Linked DNA regions of Notamacropus eugenii. The protein of the gene in region 1 interacts with the protein of each later gene in a pairwise test. Links are inferred from orthologs where the notes say so. Each region holds a gene or a part of one and is shown on either strand. Other genes may lie near its edges. The genes, in order: EGFR, EPS8, STIP1 and STAT2.

Region 1 (7,080 bases):
ATAAATACTGGTTGGGTTGGATTCTATAACTTTGGCGAAAACTGTTTATTTTTTTCCTAGGCAAGATTCAACATAATTTTTTTTTACTCAACATTTCTGGGGAAGTATTTCGGAGTGTTGAGTAAGCCTTGAAAAGTTATGATCACATTGAACTGCTTCACCAACCTTAAGCTAATGCAGATGGCTATGGCAAGACCTGATTGTTCTTATGAGAATTATTTCATGCATGAAAGTGCGTCAGCACAATCACAAATTACATGTTCCTTTGTGATACCATCTTAATATACTACAGTGTCTTTAATACAAGGAGAGTGCAGTTCCCCACAAAGAAACAACACAAGACTGCAATGTGCATAATTGCAAACTCCCCAGCCCAGCATTTAAGGCCTTGTACATTCTACCTACCTTTCCCATCTTATCTCACCTTGTTAGCATTCACACACTTTGGGCTATCAGCAGTTTCCTGATCTAGACCATCCTGCACTCAGTGCATTGACTCAGGCATTTACTCACATCTAGAACACACCCCTTTCTCCTCATTCCTTCTCTTCCTTCTGGTTTCATCTTAGGTACCACCTTTGCCATAAAATCTTCCCTCATTCCCCTTCAGCTGATAGAGATTCCTCAACTTTGTCTATAATCCTTAGTATAAAGAGCTGGAATCTGAAAAGTCTGAAGCCAGATACCATGCTAAGGACAAGTCAAATCCCTTCTTTGGTTTTCTGATCCCTATCTTTAGAAAGTGAAGGAATTAAACAAAATCCTCTCTAAAGTTTCTTCCAGATCAAAGCAAACAACCCCAAGCCAGGTCTTAGTAAGCAAAGTGTGGGGAGGCTTGGTGCAAACTGAATATCTTGGGGAGAGATTGCTGAATTTGGGCATGGGTGTAGTCTGATAGTCACTACCCATGTAACCTCAGGCTAACCATATAACCTCTCCTGGCCTCAATTTCCTCATGTGTAAAATGAAGGATTTGGACTAGATGGCCTCAGACATCTTTTCTATGTTGTTATGATCCAATGAGCCTATAAAAAAATGGAAGCTCTAGGTAATTTCAACAAATTCACGTCAACATTTTTAAAGCTTCTGTGCTCAAAGCATTGATTGTATGTGCTATGGACACCAATATTCTTATATGCTACAGGGGGAATACAATGTGTGCATAAGAAAAAGAGAGGGTAATTTGATGGAAAGGGAAGGACCAGGAAGGACTTCAAAGGGCAGGTACCATTTAAGTTGAACCTCTTCTGCAATGAGAAGGCATTATAGGCATTGTACATGATTTGTTTGAATGTATGGGAATCAAAGAGAGAATATTAAGTTGGGCAATGACTAGTCATCCAATCTGGCCAGAATAGAGTAGGTGAAAGGAAATACGGTGAAATAAGGTTGAAAAGGTAGGTGAGAACTAGATTGAAGAAAATCTTAAATGCCATTTTTTAAGAGGCAGTAGGGAGTCAGAAAAGGTTTTTAAATAAGGGAATGGTCAGACCTCTACCTTAGGAAAAGGGAATGTGATCAAAAAAAGAAAAGAGAATGTGGTGTAAGGGAAGATGTAGGGGCTTTGGAGTCAAAGAACATGGTTCAAATGTCACAAATCTCTGTGACAATGAGTAAATTACTTAACCAGAGTTTCCGCACCTGTAAAATAAGGGAATTTGACTAGATTGTGTCTAAGGTTACTTCCAGCATTAATTCCCCTTTTTCCCCATTAATTCTTTTAATTATATTCACAGTTGTATGGAGGATGGTTTGGAGAGGAAAGAGATGGCAGGGAAAACAATTAGGAGGTTATTGCTATAGTCTGGGTGAGAAGTGTTGGTGGCCTAGAATAGAGTGGTGACCTTTTCAGTGAAGAAAGGATATGGATGTGGGAGGGAATCTGATTTTTTTTTAATACTACCATCTCAAAAATCAATTGTAATTAGACAGCTAAAGGCTGAGTTTATTCCTTTTATAATTAGTTTCATATTAACTTTATAGAAGCAATCTTTCTATTAAATAATCTTACTAGTAAATAATTGGTCAATTAGCCTTTAATCAAGTTTCCCCCACCCTACCCCAGGACGCTCTCTGCCATTCACCACAGTTTCTTTCTAAGGGTGAAATTTTAAAAAGGGGAAATAACTATCATTCATAGTTTCTGCACTACCATAGTCTACTTCCTGAGCTATGGGACTAATTCCAGGTTCTATGCACTTTACCATCATGGGAGCAACAAGATGATTAAGGTTGCTGAAAGCCAAACACAAACCTGTGTGGGGGGGGAGGAGGGGGGGAGCAATGGGGCATCAGTGGGCTTTGGGGGGAGGTTTACAAATGCCCAGGCCTTGGAGAACACAGAAATAAAAGGCACTGCTTTTTGCTACAATGAATACTTTTTGTTTTACTCCTTCTTTGTCTCCTAATTTTGAACTTGCAAAATCTGTTTTACTGGGATGTTAGTAGTTAATACACACTTGGGAACTATTTGTGAACTTTGAAAGATGGGGGAAGAGGTTAGAGGAAGCTTGGTAAAATCTTCACGATAAACTGAGGCAAAAGGGCTACATGACGTTAATTCTTTAGCAGATAATAAATCAGTGTATAAAAAGTAAAAGAGGGGAATCACTCTAGAACACTTTAATCTTCTTTCCATGGTGACATGCGGAAGGATTCCTATTTCCTTAACAAAATAATTTGTGATTTTCCACTTTTATACACATACATACATCCATACACAGATACATAATGAGAATATGGAGGAAGAACGTTACGTAAATAATTGACTAATGGTCACTGAAGAACAACGCACAGTCTCCTTATCTATCTTTTTTTGCTTAATGTTTTTTCACCCCTTGCTGTGATTTCCCAAAATCACCTCCTTAGCTTCAGACATTTTGTAACATTCAGTTACCAACTTTATAAAACTCCGGGTCTTCTTACTTCTGACTTGGAATTTAAAATCCGGCTATCCTTCCACTAATATTCGCCATTTGATTTCCACCTAAACATTAGACTTTTAAGCTCTGGGGTCGTCTGGCAAAGATTTCCCAGCCCGCATACCCTAAAAGGGAGAGGAGGGAAATGTGATGAGAAATATTAGGAACTGACCAAGTTTTGTTTGGTTTTGTTTTTTGAAAAGTTAATGGGTCTGGGGGAACGTTTGCCTCATGAAGTGAACCTCTCCCTCACCTCCACCCTCGAGGGTGAAGAAAGGCTATGGAAAAAAGAAAAGCAGCTCTGTCCTTTCTCTCCTTTGTGGGAGATGCCCACAGAGGCAGAGTACGTCGTTACCTGGCCAAACTTCCGAAAACTCTGAATCACACACTTAGGCAAGCTCTGAGTCCAGCCTTCTCTTGGGCGGACAGCGCTCACAGATTCTGGTTTTGCGCTGACCACCCTTCTGCCCTTCCGGCCCAGTTCACTGTCGCCCTGAAATCCTCCCACTGTCCCCTGCTTGGCTCTATCCCTCTCCACCGGGTGGTGGTGACCCTACTAAGAGGGGCAGCCTCCTCTCGGTCCCTGTGACGTAGCTCAGTTTGTTTGATGGGGATTCTCTAGGGAGAAACTCGCGAAGTTGGGGGAAAGTTTTTTTCTTTTGTTTTTTATGTTTTGTTTTTTCTGAGAACTGGGAAGGGAAAGGAAGGAGAGGAGAGAGTGCAAGAATCAGCTGTGGGTCGGAACCACTCTCAGCCTAGGTCAGGGTTGAGGAAACACCCTCAGCGCTTCTTTCTCCGCCTCTCCCCCACCTCTGTCCCAAAGGAGAAGGGAAAAAAACGGAGCCCACACTCACAAGTGTGTGCTCAAGGACTCGGAGTTGACAGCCTGTCTAGACCCCTACCCCACCTCCGGTGCCTAGCGCGGTAGGAGCTCCAGCTCGCGCACACGCACACACACATAGGCACACACACAGGCACACACGCGCACGCACACAGGCACACACACACACACACACACACACACACACACACACACACACACACACACACACACACACACACACACACACACACACACACACAGGCAGGCTAAGGGGCAGCGGCCGCACCGCCTCTTTCTCCTCCTCCCTCTCCTCCCCCCTCTCCACCTCCCCTCCGGGCGCTGCGGCGGCAGCAGTAGAAGCAGAGCGCCTTCCCGGCATGGTCTGCTAAGCCAGCCTTGTCGGGCAGCCCGAGTCCGGGGCAGAGAAGGCTCAAGGGAAGCTTTCCGACGCCAAAGGAGGAAAAGCAAGAAGCAAACGCCCCGGCCTCCTTGGGATTGATTCTGCACTTGGCAGAAATCTACCCTCAACGACATTCCGCCTTCCCTTGGCCCCCGGGCGGGGAAAAGGGGTTGTTGGCTCGTGAGATTACTTTGGGACCATCGAACTGGGACCGACGTCGATCCGGTGCGGCGATGGGGCTCTCTGGGGCTGCTGGAGCCGCTGTCCTGGTGCTGCTTGCCGGACACTTTTCCCTAGGCACGGCGCTGGAGGAAAAGAAAGGTAAAGGTGTCGCCTTGGCCTCCCGCCTCTCCGCGTCCCCTGCCTGGCCTTCGCCCTCACCTGGTCTCCCTGCCGCCAGCTTGCCTGTCCTCTTTCCACACCCCGCCCCAGCCTCAGCCCTTGCTAGCCGGCTGCCGGTCTCCCTCCGGCTCGCTAGTCCCAGTCGGCCGGCGCTCCCCTCCCCTCCCCCGTTTCCTGCGAGATCAGCTGTGAGCTCTGGCCAGCACCCCGGTGGGAGCTGAGCCTGGAGGGGCTGTCCTGACAATCCTGTCTGGCCCAGAGAGAAGGGGGTACTGAGGGATCTCTGGCCGGGGAACTGAGCTCCCGAATGGAAACCTGGTGTCCAGAGTCACTAGTTCCCGGGCGCGCCCTCAATCTGGCTGCGCGAGCTCCATCTGCGTTTGCACAGGAAACTTTCTCAGCCGGCTTTCGTCTCCTTGGCCCGCGCCGTAGACTAGCCGGGAAGGGGTGGGGGGCGGCTGGAGGCGGGGAGGCGGGGATCGAGGTAGTAGAGTTCTGGGGGTGAGGGCGCCTTGGCATTGGCCGCACTCTGGGGATGACACTGTGCAGCGGGGATAAAGGGACAGGGTCCCATGTGCCCCCCACCCCACCTCCACTCCCCCCTCACAGCCCTCATACTTCCCAGGACAGGTAAACAAGAGGGCATGAGATGCCAGGCTAGAGAGAAGTCCCACCGGTTAAGTGCTACTAAGGGTGTCTGTCACCTGTCCAGTCCTCTGGACCGGCTCCCTCGTTCACATTTCATTACTCTCTTTCTGTAGCCTGGATTGTCAGCAGTCCGGGGTGGGATCTGTGGGTGGTGGGAGTAGACGGAACCCTCCTCCAAACACACTAAACCAATAGGGAAAAGAGCCCTCAGCCCCATTCCCATTCTTTACTCTCAGGTTCTCCGCCTTCCGTCACCCTCATAACACTGCAGGATTTGGACTTGCTTCTTTTTAACTGTAGCTCTGTGCGTCTGTTTGTCTGTGTCTCCCTCCCTCCTCTCGCTCTCCCCCTCTCCCTCTCCCTCTCCCTCTCCTCCCTTTCCCACTCCAGTGACTGTCGGCCTGTGCTTGATCCTTCCCTGCTCTACAAGGTGCGCAGGTCTGTGTAGGATTCAACTGTGCAGCCGGGTCGCTCCCTACACTCACCTTTGGTTTCCTCCCTACTACCCTCCCTCTCTTACTTATTCCCCACTCCTGAGTCGCTTCACGTTCTTACATGCTTCTTAAAATACTTTGTTAAACTTCTAGGGGGCAATTCTGGAATCGTGGATGGTTTCTCTAGGGTTTCTTTGGAGAATGAGATATTAGATTATAGAATCCTCAAAACCATCTGATGACAGTAATCCCTTATAAAGATTCCAGTGCAAATCGTTTGGGGAGTAACTTTCCAAATGAACACTCCATACTCTTTCTCCTCTCGGGAATGGGGTGGGGAGTAGATAATCAAACCACACACCGGTTGAAAGAAACTGGTAAAGGTCCACCATTCTCTCTGAACCAAGCATGAGAGAATCTGATTTCGTGACTACTGTCAATAAGCTCCCTTGGAACAAGAAACATGCCTTAGAAGATTCTAATTGCACAATCTTAAAATTAAGGAACTCGTGTTCCAAGAGTCAGGTTCCGACCTGTTGTTGATGTCATTGGCACAGGGTGTTGGGGTGTGTGTGTGTGTGTGTGTGTGTGTGTGTGTGTGTGTGTGTCTGTGCTGGGGGTTTGTTGTGGGTTTGGTTTTTTTTTTTTTTGTGGGGGAGTTACATAAACTTCTTGACTATGTTTGCCCTTCTACGGATAAAGATGTTTTGAGACAGTTTATTTTATCAAACTTGCAAAATATAGGTGAGAGGGTGAATATTCTCGTCCTATACTGGGGAGTGAGTGGTCAGTGTTGAAAGATCAGAGCTGTTGTTTTTTCATTTAGTGAGTAGCCCTCAGATTTATCATCACAGATTTGGATATTTTGACAAATGTAAAATGTCTTCCCCACCCCCTCTTATTTTCAAAACTAATGCTATATTAATCCACTTTCCCTCACATTTAAGATTCATAGTTTCAGGAAAAAAATTCTTTTTTTCTCTCAGGTACAAGAATAATACCTTGTACCTTTCTAGGACCAATTGTAATTTTACTGTTCTTTTACTTGAAGGCATCATCTTTCTGATAAAATATTTTTCACAATACTTTAATGGTTGACTTTTGAATATCTATGTCTGAAAACTTTCTAGTATTCTATACTTTAAAATGCTTCAGCTGTTTCTGAGAAAATATAATTTGTTCTCTTTTTGTATCCATTTAAAGTAGAATGCCTTTTAATGTGGGGATAAAAAGAACCAAACTCTAAGAAAATGAATGTGCACATAGGATAGTAAAAGGGAATGGTTAATTTCTCAGTACAAATTCTTTAGGTTTGAGTGAGCCTATTTTAGAAAGAGTATTAGTTATGATCAGGTGCACTTAAATTCATCTATGCCTTTAATCAACAAAGTCTAATCAATGTCAATGAGAATATTTAAAAGAAATTTGTTTAGATCTTGAAAGCAGAAATATTTGTGCATTTAAAAGAATAATGACAGGTATGTGTGACTTCAACCTTTCGACCTTGCACAG
Region 2 (7,289 bases), about 230 Mb from region 1:
TGGACTGAATTCACTGAATCTGAATGACTAGCACATACTATTTCCACAAGCCAGGAAGGTACAAAAGAATTGTGTTGTTTTTTTTTTCAACAGAAAAACTAAGTTAATAGCAAAATAAATATAATCTCTGTGATCTCACTTCAAAGAAACCTTCCCCAGATCCTAAATCCCCTACCTCCTAATTACAACAAAAATAAAATCAAATGATCTCTCAAACATTCGAGCATGTCAATGTAGGTTTCAAAATCTATATGACCAAGACATTAGCTATTTCACATTTTTAATTGACACTTTGGTGCAAGCAATTAACTTTGCCCAGAAAACTAGCAATACATTCATTTAAGTGACTGGGAAAAATAACATTTCTAAATACAACTCTAAATGATCAACTTCTCTAAGATTTTTATTTCTACAGGTAACAGTAGTTAATTTTACCTAGCTTCCGTTTGAGACAACAACTTAGAATATATATCCTTAATAGGACTTATCATGTCGGCATCCTCTGCTTTATGAAATAATGTACATGGAGTCCTGAAATTGAAGTCAAGAAGATATGGCTTTAAACCAAACACAACACAACAAAAATAATAGGCAACATTTAAATAGCACTTACTAGCATAGCACTAGGTACTGTGTTAATGCTTTACAAATATAATCTCATTTGATCCTCACAAAAACCCTGGAAGGTGGTGCAAGTGTCCTTATTTTACTGTTGAGGAAACTAAGGCAAATAGTGACCTGTCCAGGGTCACAAAGTTAATGTCTATGGCCAAATCTGAACTCAGGTCTTCCTGCCTCTAGGTCTGGTGCTCTATCCATCTTGATATCTCAAGTCTCTGAGCCTCATTTTCCTTATTTGTAAAATGAGGATAATAATAACCCTACTATCTACCTCACAAGATCATTGTGAATCTCAAATGAGATTATATTTGTAAAACATTGCACAAACTTTAAAGCCACAAAGAAATATCAGCTATTAGTACCATTAATTTTGAGAATTCCAGTAATAGAGATACAACCATAGTCACCTTAAGTTCACTGCAAGGTTTACTGGATAATGCATACTACCAGTATCACACTCATATAAAAAAGATCAGTAAATCAGCTGGTCAACAAGCATATATTAAGCACTTATTACGTGTCAGGCATTGAGAATACAAATACAAGCAAAATGAAAGACATGTAGGCTCTCTACCTCACTGCCATTCCCACAAACCCCCATTTTGGTTTGGTTCTGGATGGCAGTCATATGCCTTGGTAGATAAACAGCTCAGTTCAGACAGTCAACTGGTTCTGTATAGCTTATTAATGTAAGAGGACTTTGGGGTTTTATACTGGGGAAGAACCAGGTCTTTTTATAAATGCCTCAATCTCATGGTAAGTAGGTTGGGTAGGCACAGTGGCAAGCAGAATTTTTTTTTGGAGTCGGGCTGCACTCATGGATTTTCACTAGTCACTTTCATCTGACTGTATGTCACTCCTGTTTCAGACCAAATGGAGATTAGTCCAACCAACTTGCATCAATTACAATGGTCCTAATTGCAGAAGCATTAAGACTGTAGATTTAGAGCTAGAAAGGGTATCTCCTCCAATCCCCTCATATTACAAATGAGAAATAAGAGGCTTAGATTTAAGCGACTTACCCAAGGTGATACAGATAGTAAGGAGCAGAACTGGGATTTGAACCAAGGCTCTTTCAAAGAATTGCAAAGCATTAAGAAATGTAAAGGGAGCTGGGAGGCTATGGAACAAAAGGAAAGTGGAAAGCTTAGGGAAATATGAAATAAATCAAACTCAAATATAGTGACCATTGAAAGAAAGAAAGGCAGTCTTCTCAAAAGTAATCAATCATTTGAAAAAAAATCAATAAAAGATCGTAACACAACGTAAGAAAAGAAAACCAAAATAACTTGCGAGCTTTTTTTTGTAATTCAACAGTTCTGCTTTAATGTGCAAAGAGAATTACAAATGGCATCTTGTCCCTCTCTTTCCCCCACCCACCAAAGACGCTTTCAAAGGAATCATTAACTCCAACAGTACTTTTCTTGGGGGTGACGAGGTAAAGAAGAAGGCTATGAACACCTGAAATCTACGAGCATAAGATGTGAGACAAACACTAGGTCTATGGAAGCCCAGCTGACAAGATAAGACTCCGGGTAGTAGCAAGCTCAAGTTACCAGGAAACACTATATGGACATTTTGTGTTTCTCTTTCCCCATCTTCCCAGGGGGAAAAAAGGTGAACTTCTCGCAAAATTGTAGCTATGAAGCCTACCTGAAGATAAGAATAGGAGAAAGCAGAATAAGTCCAAGCCCCAGAAGGTAGAGGACTCTAAGGAGCCTCAAATATGCCCAGAGGGCAGGAGTTGCTCCCTGCACCTTACTCCAAACACCAGTTGAAAGACGCAAGAGTGGAAAGCCGATTACTACTGCCTTCAGTCCAGTTAAACCACAGAAAAAGAAAAAGGAAAGAGTTAAATAGGCAAGCATTTACGAAACCTACCCGATCCCTTTGTTGGAAACGTTTTGGTCAAGGAGCTCTCTCACCTTGGTAGACTGTTTTCCTTGCTCCAAACCAGCAGCGAGCGGTGCACAAAAGCTTTCCTTGGAGCTCAGCAGCTCTCCCCCTTGGTCAAGGATCGAGGACTTGGGGTGCGAGGGGAGCTAGCAGAAGACCCGCCACTCCCCGACCCGAGCCAGCGCCCCCCGAGTCTCCCCGGTCAGGGAAGCCAGCCGCCTCCCGCACCGACGCTTGAGAGACGCGGGATGAGAAGGGGACCTGCCCGTGAACCTAACTCTCCCCAGCCAGACCCGCTGCGCGCTCTCTCCGCTGCCAGAGTAATCCCAAAGCTTCTTACTCGCGGCTAGACCAGCCCTGCGTGCTGAGCATGCCCAGTTCGGCCGCGAACGCCACCCTAGGCACTCGCAGCGAGCTGCGCTCCACTTGTCCGGGTTTTGCCTGCAGCTGGGAGAAGAAGGCGGCTGGAGCCTGGGTAATGGTGAACCATCTGGCTGACAGCGGCATTGAACGTGAAGAAAGGCAGGGAGGAGGGAGGGAGGGGGAGGAGCGCGAAAGTTATCAAGGAATCTATCCCCGTTTGAAATCACTGCTTCCTAACGGATCCGTGTCCTTCTGCGGGATCGTTAAGGCTGCTAGGCAGATAACACAGAGATGCCAAAAGGGGCAAATATTTGGGGGTCTGGGGGTGGGAGGAGTGGTCCAACCCGGGGCGCCCGGGGCACGGATCTACACATCCCGGAGAGGAGGGGGGATAGGAGGGAGTAGTGACGTGCCCCGTAAACCTTACAACCGTTGGGGGGGCGGAAATCTTTCATACAGAAATAAATACTCATTCTTTGTCATTGATGAGGACGGTGAAAGGCAATTGATGGATTGCCTGCTTTTCCATCTCCTTGGCTCTCCTTCCTTCTCTTTTCTTCTTTTCGCTTTTCCCTTTCTCTCCTTTTCTCTTGTTTTATTTCTTCCCGGTGTGTTTCTACTTCCCTGTATTATTTCTACTGAAGACACGCTAAAAAGCACTGGATTGAAGTTGAGTAGGAGAACCTGGTTTCAGATTCAACCTCTGACATTTACTGCATGACTTTGAGAAATCACTAACCCTTTTGGGTCCTCAGTTTCCCCATCTGTAAATGACGGAGTTGGAAGAGATGGCTTCTAAGATCCCTCCTAGCTCTACATCTTCCAGTGCTACAAAGACTGGTCTCATAAACTAATTGAATGAGGGAGAGAGGGAGGCAGTAAGGTGCAATAACCCTGGAGCCGAGGACCTAGGTCCAAAAACCACCTCTGATGATTACTTACTTACCTGTATGGCCCTTAAGCAAATCACTTAGTGTTCCTGGACTTTGATTTCCTCATCTATAGTATGAAGGAATTGGACTAGATATCTTCCGAAGTCCTTTACAGCTCTAGATCTGTAATCCTATGAGTTCATGATCCTCCCAGCATGATTCCCTGAAAATAAAGTCCATTCCCAATATCCCTAACCCACCAGGTACCCCGAAGTGGAAACTTCAGCTGAAATTAGCAAATCATAATCGATCTTGAGTTTCTCACAACTCTTGATCAGACCCTGTTCTCTTTAGAAGAAGGAAATGAATTCTCAGGACATGGATGGATTATCAGTTTTACCCTTTTTTTAAACATCTGTTCTATAAGCCATCTTCCACCTTTGGACCTTGCTGCCACCCTACAGCAAGCCCTCACTACCTCATACCTGGACTGTTGCAGTAGACTGCTGGTTGATCTCCCTGCCTCATGTCTCTCCCCACTCTAAAACCTATTATTCACTCATATACCAATATGATCTTCCTAAATTACAAATCTGACCATATCATTTCCCCAAACTCAGTAAACTCCAATGGCTCCCTATCACCTCCAGGATCAAATATAAAATTCTCTTTTGGGTGTTCAACATCTTCTTTGATTTTGAACATGCTATCTCTCTCCTCACCTTTCCATTTCTCTAATACTCTTAATGACACAGGTTTCCTTGCTGTTCAAACCAGACGCTCCCTCTCCCAACTTTGGACATTTTCACTGACTGTCCCCCATTCCTGGAATGCTCCCCCTCATCATCATCTAAGCTTCCTGGCTTCCCTGGGTCCCTTCAAATCCCAGCTAAAATCCTACCTTCTACAAGAAGCCTTTCCTGATTTCTCTTAATTTTATTATCTGCAGATTATCCCATACATGGTTTGCTTTGACCTAGTTTTCATGTTGTCTCACCCATTAGACTGAGGCACCTCCAGAGCAGGAAATGCCCTTTGCCTTTGCTTGTATCCCTAGCACTTAGCACAATGCTTGGCACAGTAGCAATTGCTTCTTATTGACTAACTCGATAACCCTCCACCAAAAAAAGTCTTTTCCAACTCCAAAAAAAACTTGCAATTCTGAGACTGTGATTTTTCCATTACTTCCTTTCACAAACATTTTATTCCAGTGACCAGAACACCACCACCACCACCACCACTTCCATCAAGAAGTTATTAAAAGGTATTTTCATTGTCTCATACACATTTTATTTTCTGTTTTCTAAGCCATTACCTTAGTACTTATGTGTCTGTCCATATTGGCTTTTTGTCTAGATCTATTTATAACCTGCTGAAAATCAGTGAAAGGCCAGAACAATAAAGACAAACTTCCTGAAGAAAACTTGCTAATCATTTATTTGTTTGACTCTTCTTGAGAAGTTGAGAAACATGAGAGTGAAAACAGAGGCAAGAAGGAAAGTCCCAAGTTCTTGAGTTTTGGGAAGTCAATTCACTAATTATTCATTAAGTGCCTGCCATGTGCCAGTCACTGTGATAAGCACAGGCAGGGAGTGATTGTGCTTGAACATAGTTCAGAGCAGGCATATCCTAGAGATCTGTAGGAAAACAAATGAAATCTTTGGAATTAGAATGCATGAGAATCAAGGGAAGAATGAATTACAATCAGGAAAAGACTTTGGAACTCATCAAATCCAGCCTTCCAGTTTATGCAGGAATCTTCTCAAATACATACCTACTAGATGCTCATCCAAGGACCTGCTTCAACAGTCCCCAACACTGCCCACCTGAACCTTGCTTTGTAAAGTAACATATTCAGGTTTTTACTTTTATAATTGTTCTCCTGATTTAAAACTGATCTCCTTATAACTTGCACCTATTGATTCAAGTTCTGCCTTGTGAAGGTACACACACTTCATCTGACCCCTCCACTACAAGACTGCCCAGCATATATTTGAAGCTAGCTTTCATGTCCTTAAGTCTTCTCTACCCTAAATATCCTTATTTCCTTCAGCTGTTCCACTGGGAGTGGCAACAACCCCCAGACAAGTAGTCCTACCCCAGCCCTGGAAGCCATCTTCCAGGGAAGCAACTCCTATGTAGAAAGAGTTAGCCATCTCTACCAACTGCTCATCAATAGCCAGCCACACACAAAGCGCAGGAAAACCCACCTAGATGAAGCAGCGAGGCAATTTTGAGGGAAAGACAGGAAGTATCAATTTTCAGGTAAGCAGAACCATGACTACCACCTTGATCATCATCTCCCCTCAGACTCTGAGGAAGACAGTTCAAGACCCTGAACCCAAGAGCCTTGGGAAGAGCACAGTGCCCATAACTGTCATCCTGGGAAGCAGCCCTTGTGGAGATGCAACCTGGCAACTGCTTCTGCAGTTGCTACAAGCATAATTATTGAAAACTCAAAAAAGAATGTTCTTGCCACCAAAGTCCTCACACTATCAAGTGGTCTAACATCAGTAAATGACATGATTTTATCAGTGGAAATAGCATTTAAAAAGTAGTATTACCCTAAGCACCATGAGACCCTTCAATCTGATTTGCAGCTGAAACCTTTCATATGTGTTGCTTCTCCATTAGAATGTCAACTCCTTGAGAGCAGGAATAACCACCAAATTAATTTTTAAACAACTTTGGGTACCCCAGGTTAAGACCACTAATGCGCAGATACAGTTGTGACTCATATGGAGTGGAATGGAACAGTTATAATCCTTAATCTGGAATTGTGATTTCATTAGTATGGGAATTTCTATTCTTCACACAGCCCTTTGCTCTTAGTGAAAGTTCAATAGATGTTTCATTTACTCATGCTGCTCATGCTTTTCTGAATGTACTCCAGTGTGCCAAAATCCCTCTTAAAATGTGCTGCTAGAGACTTAAGGGGGTTGTATGAATGGTCTCAGAGGAATCCAACAGTCACACATGTACTATGGCAAAAATCTAAAAAAACCACCAGACCAAATGACCAAGAAATATGAAGAGAAACTATAGCAATTTTATCCTTTATCCAGCCCAGATCAGTACAAAAAGACAGGCAGAGCCTGTGAGCAATGGAAAGGGGATATGAGAAAAGCTAGCCTCAGCACAGCTTGACAATCCAGAGGCCTGTCACTGTGGACCAAAGATGCTCCAGCAGCACTTGAAATCCTCATTACTCATACTCCAAAGCAAGACAACCAGAGCATATAAATGAGGGACCTTGAGGATGGATGGAAATTTGCAGTGCTCTGGCCACTCCAATTGTGAATTTGGTAGCACCAGGAGGTTTCAGGGGCACTAGAATTTCACAGAATTCTGACTTGAGCCCTTCGAGATGACCTTTAACGCCACAGTACTATTGAAGCCAGTGATCTAGGCAGTCCTGAAACCTGCCATCACTACACACAAACACACCAGAGAAAATAGAAATTAGCAAGAAAAACCCTAGATATGAAGTTCAGAACCAAATCCAAGAGTAGAGAAGGGGCAGAGGCTGGCCCTGGC
Region 3 (7,902 bases), on another chromosome or scaffold:
GAGATCTTGGGGCTTCCAGAGCCCCTCCTCGGCTGTCTGGGGACTGACCCATCTTTTTTATGCTCATGCCTTTCTTGGATGATGTCTTATGTTACAATTGTACTGTCTCATAATGTGAGAGTGGCATAGGGCACCCTGACCTCACAGTGCCTGGGACTGGAGTGAACTCTAGGTATGGGGACATGAGTGACAAAGCAGAGGGACTGATGATCCAGGCAGATATTTTAAGGTTTGTCAGATGGCCGCTGACAGAAAGTAGTTTGGTTCATCAGAAATATCTGCACACCACACACACACTCTCACACATATACATACCCCTCTCTCTGTCTCTCTGTGTCTCGGTCTCTCTGTCTCTCGGTCTCTTTGTCTTTCTGTCTTTCTGTCTCTCTGTCTGTCTTTCTGTCTTTCTCTGTCTCTGTCTCTGTCTGTCTGTCTGTCTCTTTCTCTCTCTCTCTCTCTCTCTCTCTCCCCCCCCCTCCTTCCCTCTCTCTTCCTCCCCCCCATCCAGTCAGGACTACATCTCCCAGCATCCTGAGTCCCAGCCCTCCCCTCCGCCCTCCTCCCCCCTCCCCTCACGTCCTATCTCCAGTTTCCCAGGACGCCTGGGAATTCTCAAATTAGCCATTCACTCCCAGGCCCCACGTACTTGAACCGCCCCGTCACCTGTTGCTGGAATCCAAACTCAGCACTAGAAATAGCCCCCTGCCTGGCTGGCCCCCCAACCTGCCTCAGCTCTTTGCAGAAGTGACCAGCTCGGCCGCCCAGGGCATAGCCGGGTATGCCAGGGCCTGGAATCTGGTTGCCAGCCAGCCGTCTTCTGGCATGCTTCCTTCTAGCCCACAAAGAGTAAAAAGTGACTTATGTAACATGTTAGAGTTTGCAAAGCACAGGACCAAAGTTCACCCACTGAAGGAGATCTCAGAAATCAACCATCCTCAACCCAGCTTTTAACGGGGAAGGAAACTAAGACCCAGGGAGAGGACTGACCCAAGGTCACACAGGCCGACAAGTATCTTGTGACAGGCACTGGGCCAAGCCCTGGAGGAAAACAGCTTCGGACAAACAGGCTTAACGGGATGGGTAGGAGATAATTGGGAGCAGGGGAGAATATAGAATTGAGGGGGAGCAGGAGTCTTCTTGTAGAAGGTGGTGCTAGCTGGGGCTAGGATGGAGACCCAGGGGTCCCGACTCCCAAATCCTGCATTCTCTCCACTGGCCTCTGTGATTCTGTTGGTCCAGGAGCGTTTGAAGGCTACAGAGGACTTCACATAGGTGTTCAGGGTAGTTTAGCAGGAAAGGTAAGCTGGTGCTGTATTTATAGTCTCAAGATCTGAGTTCAAGTTCTGCCTTTTCCATTTACTGGGGGTGGGGCATGAGGCAAGTTCTTACCGTCTCTAAGCCTCAGTTTCCTCCTCTGTCTAATTAGTGGGATAGACTTAGACAACCTCTGAGAGCCTTCCAGCTTGAAATCATCTATTTCTCCTCACTTAAATCCAATTCACAGGCAAGTCAAGAAAGATGACATCATGATAATCAAGTTTAATAAAAGGGAAAGGATGTATTAAGGACCTACTATGTGCCAAGCACTGTTACTAAGTCCATTCCATTCAATAAACATTGATGGATCACCTACTGTGTGCCAGGCACAGTGCTAAGCCCTGGGAACACAAAAAGAAGATAAAGACCGTTCCTGCCTTCAATCTAATATATCCAAGGTGAACTACAGCCTGGACAATACAAAAGAATGAGGGAAGGCCCTGGAGCAAGCAGGGCTTGGAGCAGGCTTCCTGTGGAAGCTGGAGTTTTAGTCCTGCCTTAAGGAGTAGTGGGAGTGCACGAGGGGGGCATGTTCCAGGTCTGGGGGCAGCCAGAGAGGATGCTGGGACAGAGGGGTCAGCAGGGGCCAGGACAGGGAGGAGGGGCCCGGCTATGAAGGCTTTGAATGTTAGGCTGAGTGTGGACAGACATGATCTCAAATCACCAGTCTTTTGTCCCTCTCCTAGGCTGGCAGCACCAGGTAGAAAGGAGCCAGAGAGGGGGAGAGGAGCCCCCAGGCTGGGTCTGTGCCCATGAGGACCAGGGCAGGTGGCAGGAATCCTGGGAAATAGATGGCAGAGAACTGAAATGTAAGTAGAAATCTTTTCCCTCCGGGCCCGGTGGCAGCTCAGCTCCTGGAGGAAAAGAAAATTCAGGATGACTTTCTTTACCTTCCAGTCTGAGAGATGTGTCGAAAACTTCCTGGAAAGTATACAGCAGATGGCTCCGTCAGTCTGTCAAGCAACAGGCATTTATTAAACTCCTACTGTATGCAGAACACAGACACAGACTGCTGTATGAAGAATGGATTGGAGAGAGAGGAGAGACTGGAGGCAAGGAGGCCAGTTAGGAACCTACAGATGATGAGAGGAGTGAGTTGTAGCTGGGTCTGACTCTTCAGAGTAAGGGGGATCACAGAATGTCAGAGCAGGAAGTCATCTTGTCCAAGCTAGCTTTCCTACCTGATTAAATGGTACTTCCTTTCCCATGCAGTGTGGTCCGGCCAAACTAGCTTTCATACTGTTCTCTCACACAAGACTCTCCCACCTCAAGTGTTTGCCCTGGCTGTACCCCGTGCTTGGAATGTCATCCCTCCTCATCTCCACCTCTTAAAATCCCTTGCTTTCTTCAAAATTGTTCAAGGAACACCTTCCACATGAGACCCTTTCGGCTCCCTCCCCAACTGTTAGTGTCCTCCCCATCGCTGCCCCACCCCTTCTGATTAACCTTGTATGTACCTTTATTTTGGGTTGATTTATTTATGTACAAATGATCTCCCCCAGCAGAATGCAGACACAAGTGGTAGATACAGTATTCATATGAGTGCCAAGTCAGTGATGCCCACAACTGGGCTGTGAGGTCACCGTGTGGGGTCACAGTCCTTGTTTCCTGATGGGCATCATAGGACTGCCTTTGGGGGACCTGAGAGGGGCTTCCAGGAAAATTAGCACTAAAACTGTATTATATAGACTATATCAATGTATTCCATTTCCCTTACAGTATGTATTCCTGGGGTGTTTTATGATAGCTAGCATTTATAGAGTGCCTATTATGTGTTAGGCTTTACCATTATTCTGTATTTAATAAGAAGTGGTCAGTCTTTGGTTTAAGACAGACATCAAAATGACCCTTCTATTAATTATCCAATAGCCCTCATTAATAAAATGATTGTTAATTACCCAGAAAAAAATAATAAACAGTTGTTACTTTACTCATTGAAATTTCAGCCATGAAGGTATCTCCTGGTGTGGAATTGTCCTCCGCTCATGCAGGTTGGCTACTCTGTGTATAAATGTGTATTTACAATTCTATTCTATTAGCAATGTTATACATAATATGTAATCTTAGATGCACATAGTTCTTCTCTCTGTGTGGGGCCTGGGCCCTGGGCCCTGGCTGGTCAATATTTTGATCACTTTATTCCAACAGAGTTGGTCTCCTTTGCAATCCTATGTATTTGCTCTGATGCATTTGAAAACCTGATTCTGAGAAAGGCCCCCCACGTTGTCCCAGGGGTTCAGGACACGCAAGAGCCTGGGTCAGAATCAGCTATGAGGACCTATCCTCTCTCTGATATGTTGTGATCTCTCTTACATAAGGAATGGCATTCAGGTCATGACTGCCAGGTTATCTGGTGGCTGTGGCATTCCCACTCGGGTCCCGGGGCAGAGTGTGAGGCCCTGGAAAGAGAGTCTAACCCTCAGGCAGATCCAGCCACTTCTCCTGGCCTGTTTCCTCATCTGTAAAATGAGGGGGATGGGTTTGCTCCCATCCTCACCAAGACACAGGTGCCAGTGCCCCCTCTGTCCCCAGCTCACACTGAGGCAGGGCTTATGGATCCCATTCCCACTCAGCGATCCTGGGGCAGGTGCTGCCATAGACCCCGTTTCACAGATGGGAAACTGAGGCTCAGATTGACTGGTTTGCCCCAAAGTGACAGAGTTGCTCCTAATAGGAAAGAAATAAGCATTTATTAAGCGCCTACTGTGTGCCAAGGACCAGTGCTTAACTGTGCCCTTTACAACTGTCATGCATGCGAGTAGGCGCTTTTATGATCCCTGTTTTCTAGCTGGGGGCAACTGAGGCAGTGGGAGGTGAATGGCCTTGCTAAGTGCTTTCCCCGGCACCCCACCTCCGGTGCAGAGCTCTAAGCGCCCCCCACACCCCGCCCCCACACGGCAGCCCATTTCACAGAGGCCGACCCTGCCCCCTGGGACCCCTGGCACCCCTGGCACCCCTGGCACCCCTGGCCCTGCCCGGACTCCTTCCGTGAGCCTGCGCAGTTTGAGAGGGCAGAGTGTATCGGGGAGACGCTCGGGGTTATACCCGAGGGCGCCCCCCCGGGTTGCGAGAAACGAGCACCTCCAGCCTGGCCGGAGCCTAGGCACTCCCCACGAGTTAAGGGAGCGGGGGAAGGGCCAAGGCCGTGGCAACAGTCTGCTCGAATGGCAGCAGGAGCGACCTATCAGAGCCAGGCGCTTGGAGACCCTGCGCCCAATAGAATCGCTCCTTATCGCTGGCTCTGACGTCACTGTGCCCGTCAGTCCAATGGGAAAGGTGGAAATTTCCAGAAGGAACTGGACCAATGGGTGCGACCAGCGCCAGCCAGACCGGCGCTCTCGCCAACCAATGAGTATAGCAGACGAACGCCTCTCTGCCAGTCGTCAAGCAGGCTCTGGGGCGGGCCGTGCCAAGGAACGCCCAATGGCGAGGAAGAAAAGACTAAGGGTGGAGCGAATCGCCGTCCGCCGTCCAATGAAAGGAAGGTGCCCATGAATGGCGGAGAAGTCAGCCTCTCGGAGCGCTAGGGGGCGGGGCTCGGAAGGAAAACTCCACCAATGGGGCGGCTACGAAGGGGCGGGAGCCGGGAGTCCCGGCAGCTTCTAGTAGGTTCCAGAAGGCGGCGCGTGCGGCTGGGAGCTGGGCGCGAGCGGGCTGGCGGACGGATTCGCGGCTGCCTCGGCTCCGGCCCGGGCCATGGAGCAGGTGAGCGGCGGCCGGCGGGCGAGCAAGGGAGGAGGGCGAGCCGGGGAGAGGTGGGGGGGCGGTGAGGCCCGGGGCCGCCGCTGAGGTAACTGAGCCGGGGCTGGGGAAGCGACCGGGGCCCAGGGAGGGGCGGGCGGGCCCGGCCGGGCCAGGGTCAGAGGGCGGTTATTGGGGTGCCCAGGGCAGATTGAATCTGAGGGGAGGCGACGGGACCCAGGACTGGCGGGGGAAAGTACTGGAAGGGGGGAAAGAATGGGGGGGCGAGAGGGGGAGGAGCAAGGCCTGGGATGGGGGGGCTGTGGAGGTGGGGGGAGGGGAAGGGTCTGGAGGAAAGGCGAGCCTGTTTCAGGGGGAAAGGAGAAGGGCTCTTGGGCCCATCCGGGGTAGAGAGACCTCCAAGGTTTGGGGGTTAGCCCGAGGAGCCGAGCTAAGAGACAGGAAGTAAGGGGGGGGGGGGCAGAGGCAGGACTCCCAGCGGGGGGTCCAGGTCCGAGGAGGGCAGGCCCTCGTGGGGCTCCAGGGATGGGGGGAGGGAGTCAGCCCGGCCTTCCGTGAAATCCATGGGGGGTAAATGCAGGAGAAACTGGGAACTGATTGAAGTAAAGGGGGGGCAAAGTGAAGTCAATGGGGGCGCCCCGAGGCAGGCTCTCTGTGCCTCTGGGGCGTCCTAGTGAAGGTGCCTGGGCCTCAGGTGGGGGCTCTTTGGGCTCAAAGGCTTTGAGGAAAGGGGCCCTGGAGCAGACTAGGGGACACCCCCCCCTTTTAGCTGGACACAGCAGAGCTGATGCTCGGGTTGGGACCCTTCTCCAAACGCAGGCTGCCTCCCCAAGTTTTTGGGTTCCTCGGAGGTGCAGTGATGGGATGTAAGAGGCCGGGTCAGTACCAGAGGCCCTGGGTGGCAGACCAGGCTTGTGGGAGTGAAGGGAGAGGTGTCTCTGTTGTGGTAGGACGACAGGACTTGGCTTTCTGGCTCACTCTCGGGGGCCTGGAGGACAGGAAGGAAACTTGGAGGGTCCCATCTGGGGTAGAGTGGTCTGTGGGCAAGCTAGCCTTGAGTGCTTAGGTCTCTAACATTTAGATACCATCTAGGGTTCCTCCCTTACACTCGTTTCACAGATAAGCAAGCTGAGGTTGAGAAAGGGATTGGTTCGGTACCCCACATGGGTGGGGACTAGAATCCAGGCCTTCCTGCTGTCTACCCTCTGTCTCTACATCCCAGGTCTGAGAATAACCTCATCCTCGCTGCCGGATGGGTTTGTGTGTTGTCTCATTCACTTTATGGTTAGGAAAGTCCATGAGTTGTAAGAAACGTTTGAACACCACAAGCTGGAACGTTGGGGAGGGGGGCGGACTCAAATCTTGAGAGGCCAGTCTTTTAAGTTAAATTTGTAGCACAAGTCAGGTCAGACTTTTCCACTTGAGCTCCCCTTTGTAATCGCATTGGGGAATCACCCACACTCAGTGTGCTCTTTTTATTTCTTGACTGGCCCAAGCTTACCTGCTGAGTGGGATTTCTCGCTCCTTCCTCCATCAGACTTCAGAATCCCCAAGTTAGAAAGGCCTTTTCAGTCCCACCTGTGCCTGAACTGCAACTCTCTCCATACCTGCCACAAAAACCAGGAGTTACATTGGGAAGGCAGCCATTGCAATGTTCTTGTTGTAGTGTTCTTACTAAGGATGGTTGCATTTGAGCTTTATATTGGCTTTTCATTTTAAAGGATGTACAAATGGGGGAGAGAGGGCACTTTTCAGATTAGGGATAGCTGTTTCCCTGTTTGAGGTTCTGCCCCTCACACCCATGTGTGAGAAGCTGCCAGCCTTTCCTCAAAGGCCCTTGTCTGCTGGTTTGAGAGACATCCTGAAGTGGTACCACAGACCCTCTCTCATGCATGGTCCTCCTACATTTACTTCAACTGGAGGTTAAAAAAAATGAGTCATAGATTTGGCTGAATTAAACTGAGCAGGGGGCAGGCTTTATTTCAATCTCCCAAAGTGATCTTAGGGTGCCAACCCTCCCCTTTTTCCCCCTATTCCTTCGCCATTTGAGAGAAAAGTGTTTGCCTGTCCTATGGATGGATGACTCATGACCACTTCAACGAGGGGAGGGTTCTTCTTAGCCTCAGGAACATGGTCTAACCATGCCAAAGAAATGGCATCTCTTCACTCTGGAAGTAGGAAGTCTTTCCCAGTTTTCCAGAAATCCGACTGAGACACCATAACAGAACAACATGTTCACATGCTCTCTTTGCTAACCAGTTCCAGCCCCAAGGGAATCAAGAGAGTCTCTGTTGGACTTTTGGGAAACGTGACAAATCCAAACTGCCCTTTTTTCCCAGGTTAATCCCTAGGTCAGTCCCACAGTTTTCCTTTTGAGCTTATCTCTGTGCCTGCACATTTTAGATCTCTTGATTCAGTGAGGAGTGGGAAAATTTGAAAAGAAATTAAGCTATTCCAGCCTGCGAGGGAGCCTCTATTTACTGTTGTTACCCAATGAATTTCAAGGTCCAATTCCATCTTTCTGTGTTTTGGCATAGAAAGAAGCAGTTAATTTTAGATTGTGGTCAAGTGGAGTCATAGAAAGTGTTTTGGACCTGGAATTCAGAGAGACCTGGATTTGAATCCAGCCTCTGATTTAGCTCTGTGGCTAGATGAGCCATTTAATCCTCGAGTTTCCATTTCCCCATCGGAAAAATGGGATTCATGCCTGTGGTACTTGACAGGGTCATCCTGAGGTTTCAGAGAGGTGTGTATATGTTCAATCCTGCAAACACTGAGAACTGTTTGTCTGAGCTCATCAGGGAAGGGGGACCTCCATCAGAGCAGCAGATTTCTACCTGGAAGGCCAGCCTTCTCCATGGAAAAGCTCCAGCCATGCAGTGG
Region 4 (8,001 bases), about 190 Mb from region 1:
TCTTTAATTGCAGATTAGTTAAGCAAATTGTGGTAAATTAGTATAATGGAAAATTACTGTGTAATAAGAAAAAATTAACATTAAATAAATCGTAGATGCACAAGAAGGCAATGTCAACAAAAAGAAAGAGAAAACCAGAACTGAACACTGGTCAATTATAAGGACCAAGTCTGACTTTAAAGGAGATACAGTATCATAATCTGGCTCAACTTTGTCATTTTATAGATGAAAAAGTGCTTCTCCCTCCTTTGCAGAGATGGGAGGGGACTATGCATGTGGAACATTGTACATACTGTCAAATTCCGCTTGCTGTATTGGTTAGTTTGGGGGAACTACACTTTTTTCTCACGTTTTCATTTTTCTTTGTCACAAGCAATGGCCTCCTTTTGTTAGGGGTAAGAAAGATAACAGTTATGCAAGCGTAAAAGATATCAATTTTTTTTTAAAGAAAAACTAAAATCATTGGAGGGCTACTTATTTTTCCATGGTTGGTGTAGATCAATATCATAAAAAATACTGCTACCTAAATTTATTGTCCTATACCAAACTACCAAGAATATATTTTAAAGAGCTAGCAAAATAATAACCAAGTTCATTTGGAGGAGCAAACGTCTGGAATTTCAAGGAGATAACAAAAAAAGGAGATTAAAGTTAGGATGGCACTTCCAGACTTCAAAGTGTATTAAAAAATAGCAATTAACAAAATTATTGGGTGTTGGTTAAAATGTAGCAAAGTAAATCAGTGGAAAAGACTTGTGAAGCAAGAATCAGAGACTATCAAACTCAGTAACTTGGTGTTTATTGAATTGAGAACAAAATTCTTGGAAAAGAACTCTGACAAAAACACTGAGAAAACTGGTAAATGGTTTGTCAGAAATTTAGGTTTAGATCATCGTCAACAACAACCTAGTAGCTAGTATTTACAGAGTGCTTTAAGATTGCAAAGAATATTACAATTTTAACCTCACAACAAACCTGCAAGGTAGGTTCTATTATTATCCCTATTTCACAGATTAAGATTGAGGATTAGACAGTTTAAGTGACTTGGTTAGGGCCACCCAGCTAGTATTTGACTTCATATTTGAATTCAGGTCTTCCTCACCTCAGGCCCAGCACTTCATCCACTGTACCACATAGCTGCCTGGCATCTATATACCACAATGAATTACAAATGCATACTTGAAAAAAATACTTTAAAAATTGTCAAAACAAAACTATGACTAGAGAAGAAATTTTTAAACAAGTTAAAGAGACAATCACAAAAGGGGAATCAGATGATTTTGATTACTTGAAATTGAAAAGCTTTTGCATAAATGAAATCAATGCAGCTAGGATAAGATGCTTGGGGAAAACAATCTTTGCCTCACACGGAACCATGAAGACAATATATGTAATGATTAAAAAATAAAAGGACAATTTAAAAAACTGAATGCTATGTAATTATAATGACCAAGCTTGCCCTATGAAAAGAACTGAGAAAATCGAGCCCTATCCCTTTATTGAAGAGGTGGGGTACTACGGTGCTAGAATACTGTACAGTTTCTGCGTTGACTGGCTATGCTGAAGTGTTTTTAATTTTGGTCATAAGAGGAGTTTCAGTTGGTAGGGGAAGGAAACTAATGTGATGTTAACACAAAGAGGAAGCAGAACACAGGAACAGATTTACCCAAAGGATCAGAAAGGGGCAGTGGGAATACCTGGTTGAAGACTGGGAGCCCAGAAATACTCATATCTTATGAGTTTTAAGTCTATCTTTCTACCCAGCTGCCCACGAATATATGTATTTATATGTAAACACACAAAATACACATACATGCATAAACACACTGCATGCATATGCATGTGTGCATTATGCACATTAATGAACACAAATTACACATGTATACATGTATATAGATATGAACTGTGTAGCTATATTTGAAGCTAAATACCTATCCAAATGCACATATACATATATGCGCACATATATGTATATAGATCTATTTGTATTATATATTTATGTTAGATTTACATATATAAATGTATATATTTCCCCCCCATATAGTAAATGGACTCTACAGACTAATTTCCTTTTGGGTCATGAAAAGTTGTAAGGGAGTTAAAAATTTTAGTGGGAAAGGGGACACAAGCTGATCAGGAAATACGAAATGACCCTGATTTTAGAGGTTAAATCCTAGAACTGAAAAGAGAGGAATCCAACTCAGATATTGGAAGAAAGTTGACAGTACATTCCCGGGCTAGGTGCCCAAATTGGTGAAACTTGTCAAAGCCTCCCTCTCCTCCCCGCCCCCCCGCCCCTGGCCCCGCCCCTCCCCTGGCCCCGCCCCCTCCCCTGGCCCCGCCCCCCTCCTGGGCTACCTGTTGTCAGAAATACTGTGGGGTAGTGAAAGGTGCTGGGGATTGACGTTTGCCAATCTCTCTTCCCCTGAGACTTCATGCATCAGTAAAGAGAAAAAATGATCTGGTGTTAAAAGCCTCAAATACGGCGTGGGGGGGAGGGGAGGAGAAGAGATACAACTCCCGCCCCCGCCCCTCCCACTCCCCCCCTTAAAATGTTATTTTCACAAATTATATACTGTATTTTTTAAAAGCACCCTCCGCCACCATCTAATGAGTTCTAGGGAAGAAAGAGAATAGAGAGCCAAGACTGGAATATCACAGAGGAAAAGGAAGGGCTGAGGAGGGTGATACATGAAGGGGCAGGGGATGGGGATCAGGGGCCGGGGGCTGCACAGTAGGGAGTCGAGGGGAGGGGGGGCGGGCCGTGCATCCAAGTTCAGGGGCCGCGGCTAATGGCGGGTGTCAGACTCCAAGGTCTCCTGGAGGCCCACCCTCTCCTCAGAACCTACGATCGCTTGCCCGGAGCCCATGCTTCGCCCTCCCAAGGGGGCTCGCGGCCTCCTTACCTGGCTGGTGTCGCTCCCCCAGTCTCGCGGCTCAGGGACCCAGCACTCGCCTGCCTGCTCGACCCTAAACACTGGAAGCCCCACCCCCTCACTCTCAGGCTCCTCCCTCCGCCTAGCTATTCCGGGTCTGGACACCCCTCCCTTCGGCAGCTCCAGCGCGTCACTCCGCGCTCTCCACCAGCCTCTTCTGGCTCTTCGAAGGCTTCCTCAGAACGACAAGCCCCGCCCCTCGTCAAAGGGTGGGGCATGAAGGAAAAGCCCCGCCTTCCGCCCGCAGTGATTGGACTGAAGGTCCAGCCAAACTCCGCCTTCTTTCCGCGGCGGGAGGGAGTCCCGCTGGAAGAATAGCCCAATGAAAAGTCAAAGATTGAGCCCGGGAGGCTGATGGTTTCCTGGAATTGAGGCGGAGCTACAGGGGAAAAGAGAAGAGCTCAAGCTAGAGATGAAACTAAAGGCTGTCAGTCAACCTGGGGAGCAGCTCGAGAGCCGGCCCCGAGGCGGCGCAGCAGGTAAAGAGAGACCCTGGCAGAAGTGAAGAGGATTTAGGCTCACGAGTTCAAACCTAAGCCTCACCGTTTTCTTCGAGTGCCACTGACCTGGCTTCCCTCAGTTTCCTACATGACCTAGAGATTAAATTCCAAATTAAAATTCCAGCCATCTTTTATTAAGCGCAGACACAGATGCGGAGAACAATCAAGCCTTTATTAAGCACTCGCACATACTGATACAGACGTCCCTCTCCGACTCCTTCTTTCATGCCCCCCTCCCCCAGTTCCACAGGGAGCTGTCCCCTGTCACCTCATCAGCCGTGCGATCGCTGCTGCCCATAGCCGGAGACACCCCAGGGCCCAATTCTGTGCTGGCTCTCCAGTCCTGCCACCTTTGCTCTGTGCCCTGGGCTGGGCTTCCTGACTCCTCCTTATTACCGTAATAATATTCGATCAGTTTCTGAACCCCAGCTTTGACCGCCGGCTTAAGTGCCAAACCGGCCATCACCCCCCCAGGCCCCCCTGTTGCCCCCATGAGTCCAACAAGGAGATCGTAGCCCAGGTCCAGCGCCGCTTCCTGTCCTCGCTCCCAGGCCTGAGCAGTGCAGTTCTGGGCAGCATAATAGAAAGCTGTCCCAAGGTTGTAGTAAGTCCCCACTTGGGGCAGGTACCGCATCACATTGTGCACTCCTCGCTCCTTCTCATAGACACAGTCCGCGGTCGAGAGGGAACGAGGCGCCCTTCTGGACCTCTCACTTCTCCGGCCCAGGAGCTGCAGAGCAGAGAACAGGACCCAGTCCGATCTCCTTTCTCTTCTGGTCCTTGGAAGGCCTTGGAGCTGTTGGATGAGAGTCTCTGTGGCTTTCACCCCGCCCAGTCTATGGAGTCGCTGCCGAAGGTCGTGGGCATCCGCTGGGCATCCTGCTCTCTCCAGGGTTATGTAGAAGGCCAGGCTAATCAGATACTTAGGCAGAGGGTCTAGGCGGTTGAAATCGGGAAGAGACTCAGGCATCAGGTTCCAACAGGAAAGGGGGCTGAGAGTGGTTGGTTGGGACTCCAGGGACGAAGTTGGGAGGGGTAGGGCCTTGGGATGGGATCCATCTGGGAGGGCAGCTACTGGGTATAGCAGGAGGCTGCATAGAAGGACCATCACAGGCATTTTGGAGGGTAGTGGATACAGCCTTGCTAGAGAGGAATATAAAGGAGACACAAAGCTATTCTGGTTGAAGTCTGAAAGGATTCAGATCCCAGTCAGGGAACAATTCTATCCCTATTACAACCTCCACCTCAATAACTTGGTACCAACAGACAAGGTGGGAATTTTTGGACTGATTATGCAAGAATTTGTGCTCTTTATCCTCCCCTGCCAATTCTGGTCTCTTCATCTTTGTCTTTGTGGAAAGCTAGAGAATCATTTCTCATCGAACAAAAACAAGAAGTATACCCACCTGTTTAAGAGCCACACAGCCTCTCCTTTGTAGGTCTCACTGCCTTGTAACTTTCCAGTTGTGGACTTCTCCACTCGCCCCTCCTCCTCCTATTCGATCCCAAAGATTGGCAAGAGATGTGATCACTGTAAATATTTGTCCATCTTGCAACAGATCATCCCTTGTTTTCTTGTGATGTAGGAAAGTGAACAGAAAACCATATAAAGTTAGAGGGTTTGAGTCCAAGTCTTATTCCTTACTAAGTTCTATGACACTTAATTCATTTAACTTCCATGAACCTGTTTGTTCATCAATGTAGCAGGGACAATAGCTAGACGATGCAGTGGGTACAGCCTTGAATCTGGACTTGGGGAGACCACAGTTCAAATCCAGCTTCAGACTGTGTGACTTTGGGCAAGACATTTAACCTCTGTTTTCCTCAACTGGAAAATAGAGGTAATGATATGACCTACCTCTCAGTTGTGAAGATAAGTGAGATAACATTTTCAAATGGGATATTTGTAAAGTCCTTAGCACCATGCCTGGCACATGGCAGCTGCAATAATAATAGGGGTTATTGTTGTTATTTCCACTGCGAATCAAAAGGAATATGTACAAAGTGCTATATAAGGTAAGCTACTATTATTATGCTTTCATCTTCATTAGGAAAAAGGCAATTAACTGGGCAGTTTCTTTTCCTTGCTATTTGCCTGTCACCCATGCCACCAGGTTCCTGCTCAGGTTCAGAGAAGTCTAGGGAATGGACATTGTGGAAGATAAAAGAGTAGTCTGAGATTCTCCAAACTTTCCCAGTCTTCAGTCTGGGAAATTGTCTTCAGTCAAGACAGTTACTGGTGACATATTTGCAATTTTTCTCATGCAGTAGATCTGTTAGTTTGCATCGAATTCACATAACCTTTAAGGATCTAAGTCCTTATTTAATTGGATTCAGTCAAAGTTTTGGCTGCACTTGAGGACCTAGAGGGTCACATGTGGCCTTGACACATCAGGTTCCCCACCCCTGACCTAGAGTCTCCTCCATGAAATTATGAAGCACTAGAGGATATTAGTAAAGGGTAAATACAAAGTACATGCTCAATATTTGCTTAATGAGGGAATAGAGCAGAGGGTCTAGGTGGTTGAAATTCGGAAGAGACAAAGAAAGTGTGGTCAAGGGGCGATGATTCTGGGAAGATGACTGAGTAGGTCAGAAAGTTCCAAACTCTCCAGATTTCCCCCACAAATGAGAAATGGAAAGACTTGGACTTGTGAAGGAAGAGTTTATCCACCCTCAGAGAAAGAGGTCAAATAAATATAGCACGGTCTTACATAATGCATGTGAATGTGTATGTCTATATGAGTATGATTATAGACATCTAAGTATATGTATGCATTAAGTATATGTGTGCAAAGAGGGTCTGGAAGCTAAAGGGAGAGAGACCAAGATAGAACTGGTCAGGTATGGGTCCTTTAATCAACAGCTTGTATCTATCTTAAGTTTCAGTGAAACTGGGGTGTTTCTTTCCCCTCTCTACAGCCTCTTGGACCCTTTAATTCTAGTTAGTCAATTAAAAAAATCTACACTTATTAAGCACCTATTACAACCACTAAACTAGGTTTTACTGGACATAAAGAGAGAAATAACATGTCTTTCTATTCCTGTTTAATGTAAGCTTTAATTGCTCATCAAAACTTTAGGAAGATTGGGTTACTAGTCTTCATGTGAAGCATTTGCAAACTATTTAGAGTTTCTGTCCCCTCACCCCCAAAGGACTAGTTATTCTATATAGCCTGAATTTTATCCAAGAAAACAAGCAGACTGTGCTCTTCACCGAGAAGCTGCAAGTCTTGGGGTAGAGGGTATTAGGAAATGTTTGGCCAGGACTTTTTGATCAACTCGGCACATTATGATAGCCTTTAATTCAGGAAGTTTTAGCTGATACTGCATGACACTTCAAGCCTCAGATGAAAACTCTGAATAGCATGGAGGACAAAAGCCTGGAAATGGGACTTGGGGTCTATGGGAACAGAACCAGGACAAACTCACATGCTTGTTGTGAAATTTGATAGATCACCCCTCAGGTTCATGGGTATAGTCTCTCTGGAGGGACAAGTGAGCAATGATGAATCCCCAGCTCAACTGAAATTTGCCCAAGAGCTACAGAGACAGTAGGATCTTAAGTCTTGCCAACACCTTGTAATCCAAGAACGAAGGTCTCATTGGTTTCTTTTCTTCTTGTTCTATAGAAGCCAAGCCACAATAAAAGGCATTCAATTGGGCAAACAATCTCTTCCCCAGCCACATCGCATGCCGCTTTGGGTGTGAACCAGGGTCCAAGTTAGGAAATTCATGTAAGAGATCCTAGAAGAATTGGGGTTGGCCAGAAAGTGTGGTCAAGGGGGGTTGATTCTGGGAGGATGGCTGAGTAGGTCAGAAAGTTCCAGGCTCTCCAGATTTTCCTCACAAATGAGAAATGGAAAGACTTGAACTTGTGAAGGAAGAGTTTATCCACCCTCAGAGATAGAGAAATGTGTATATCTATGAGTATGATTATAGATATCTAAGTATATGTATGCATTAAGTATATGTGTGCAAGGGTATATATATGTATATATATTTTGTGTGTATATGTCTACATATGTAGGTATGCATGTGCATGTATATGTACATGTGTGTGTATGTGTGTCTGACCTTAACTGTATCCTTCTGGGACTGTGTGGTTAGGGGTGGAGGTGTCGAGTAAGGGGGAAAAAGAACAAAGTAAAAAGTGCATAGAAGAGAACAAAAGAAAACTTACAAGGAAGCAAAGATGGACAGCTCTCAACACAATGTTTAGTATTTCATATATAGGCTTTCTTAAAATGGAAATATACTACTGTATTTTGAAACCTCTTTTACATTCTGCTGTGCGCATGGCAGTGCTTTTTTTTCTTTTCTGATTTTGTATTTAAATTTCAATATTTAAGTTTGTAATATATTTCTTCTTTAAGTTCTGTATTTAAGTTTAAAATAAATTTAAAAAAAAAAACAAGTGTGGTCAACATATTCTTAGAAAGTAAGAGAAAGGAGGGGAGGTCAGTCTCTATACTGGCTTTCCTTGTGGTGATAATCACTTGGTATGGTAAGCTGAATTTGGGCCATGATGGTGTTAGGTGCAGATCTGCTGGAGAAAAATAAAA

Evidence for each region.
Region 2: the proteins of EGFR (region 1) and EPS8 interact in binary tests that used the Homo sapiens proteins (3 or more experiments, as listed by UniProt). The link is inferred for Notamacropus eugenii from reciprocal best matches to the Homo sapiens genes EGFR and EPS8.
Region 3: the proteins of EGFR (region 1) and STIP1 interact in binary tests that used the Homo sapiens proteins (3 or more experiments, as listed by UniProt). The link is inferred for Notamacropus eugenii from reciprocal best matches to the Homo sapiens genes EGFR and STIP1.
Region 4: the proteins of EGFR (region 1) and STAT2 interact in a protein complementation assay, tested with the Homo sapiens proteins (3 studies listed by BioGRID and IntAct, with this or other methods). The link is inferred for Notamacropus eugenii from reciprocal best matches to the Homo sapiens genes EGFR and STAT2.

What each region holds. Positions count from the first base shown.
Region 1 is NC_092874.1:420,224,748-420,231,827, forward strand, and holds the start of EGFR (epidermal growth factor receptor), read left to right. Parts: upstream 1-4,071; 5' UTR 4,072-4,377; coding exon 4,378-4,465; intron 4,466-7,080. UniProt on the Homo sapiens protein: Receptor tyrosine kinase binding ligands of the EGF family and activating several signaling cascades to convert extracellular cues into appropriate cellular responses.
Region 2 is NC_092874.1:190,303,445-190,310,733, reverse strand, and holds the start of EPS8 (epidermal growth factor receptor kinase substrate 8), read right to left. Parts: upstream 3,008-7,289; 5' UTR 2,547-3,007; exon of another isoform or gene 2,503-2,546; intron 1-2,502. UniProt on the Homo sapiens protein: Signaling adapter that controls various cellular protrusions by regulating actin cytoskeleton dynamics and architecture. Depending on its association with other signal transducers, can regulate different processes.
Region 3 is NC_092873.1:17,036,412-17,044,313, forward strand, and holds the start of STIP1 (stress-induced-phosphoprotein 1), read left to right. Parts: upstream 1-4,895; 5' UTR 4,896-5,013; coding exon 5,014-5,022; intron 5,023-7,902. UniProt on the Homo sapiens protein: Acts as a co-chaperone for HSP90AA1. Mediates the association of the molecular chaperones HSPA8/HSC70 and HSP90.
Region 4 is NC_092874.1:231,637,346-231,645,346, forward strand, and holds the start of STAT2 (signal transducer and activator of transcription 2), read right to left. Parts: upstream 3,003-8,001; 5' UTR 2,907-3,002; intron 2,432-2,906; exon of another isoform or gene 2,359-2,431; intron 1-2,358. Other genes in the region: APOF (apolipoprotein F), read right to left, coding at 3,660-4,553. UniProt on the Homo sapiens protein: Signal transducer and activator of transcription that mediates signaling by type I interferons (IFN-alpha and IFN-beta).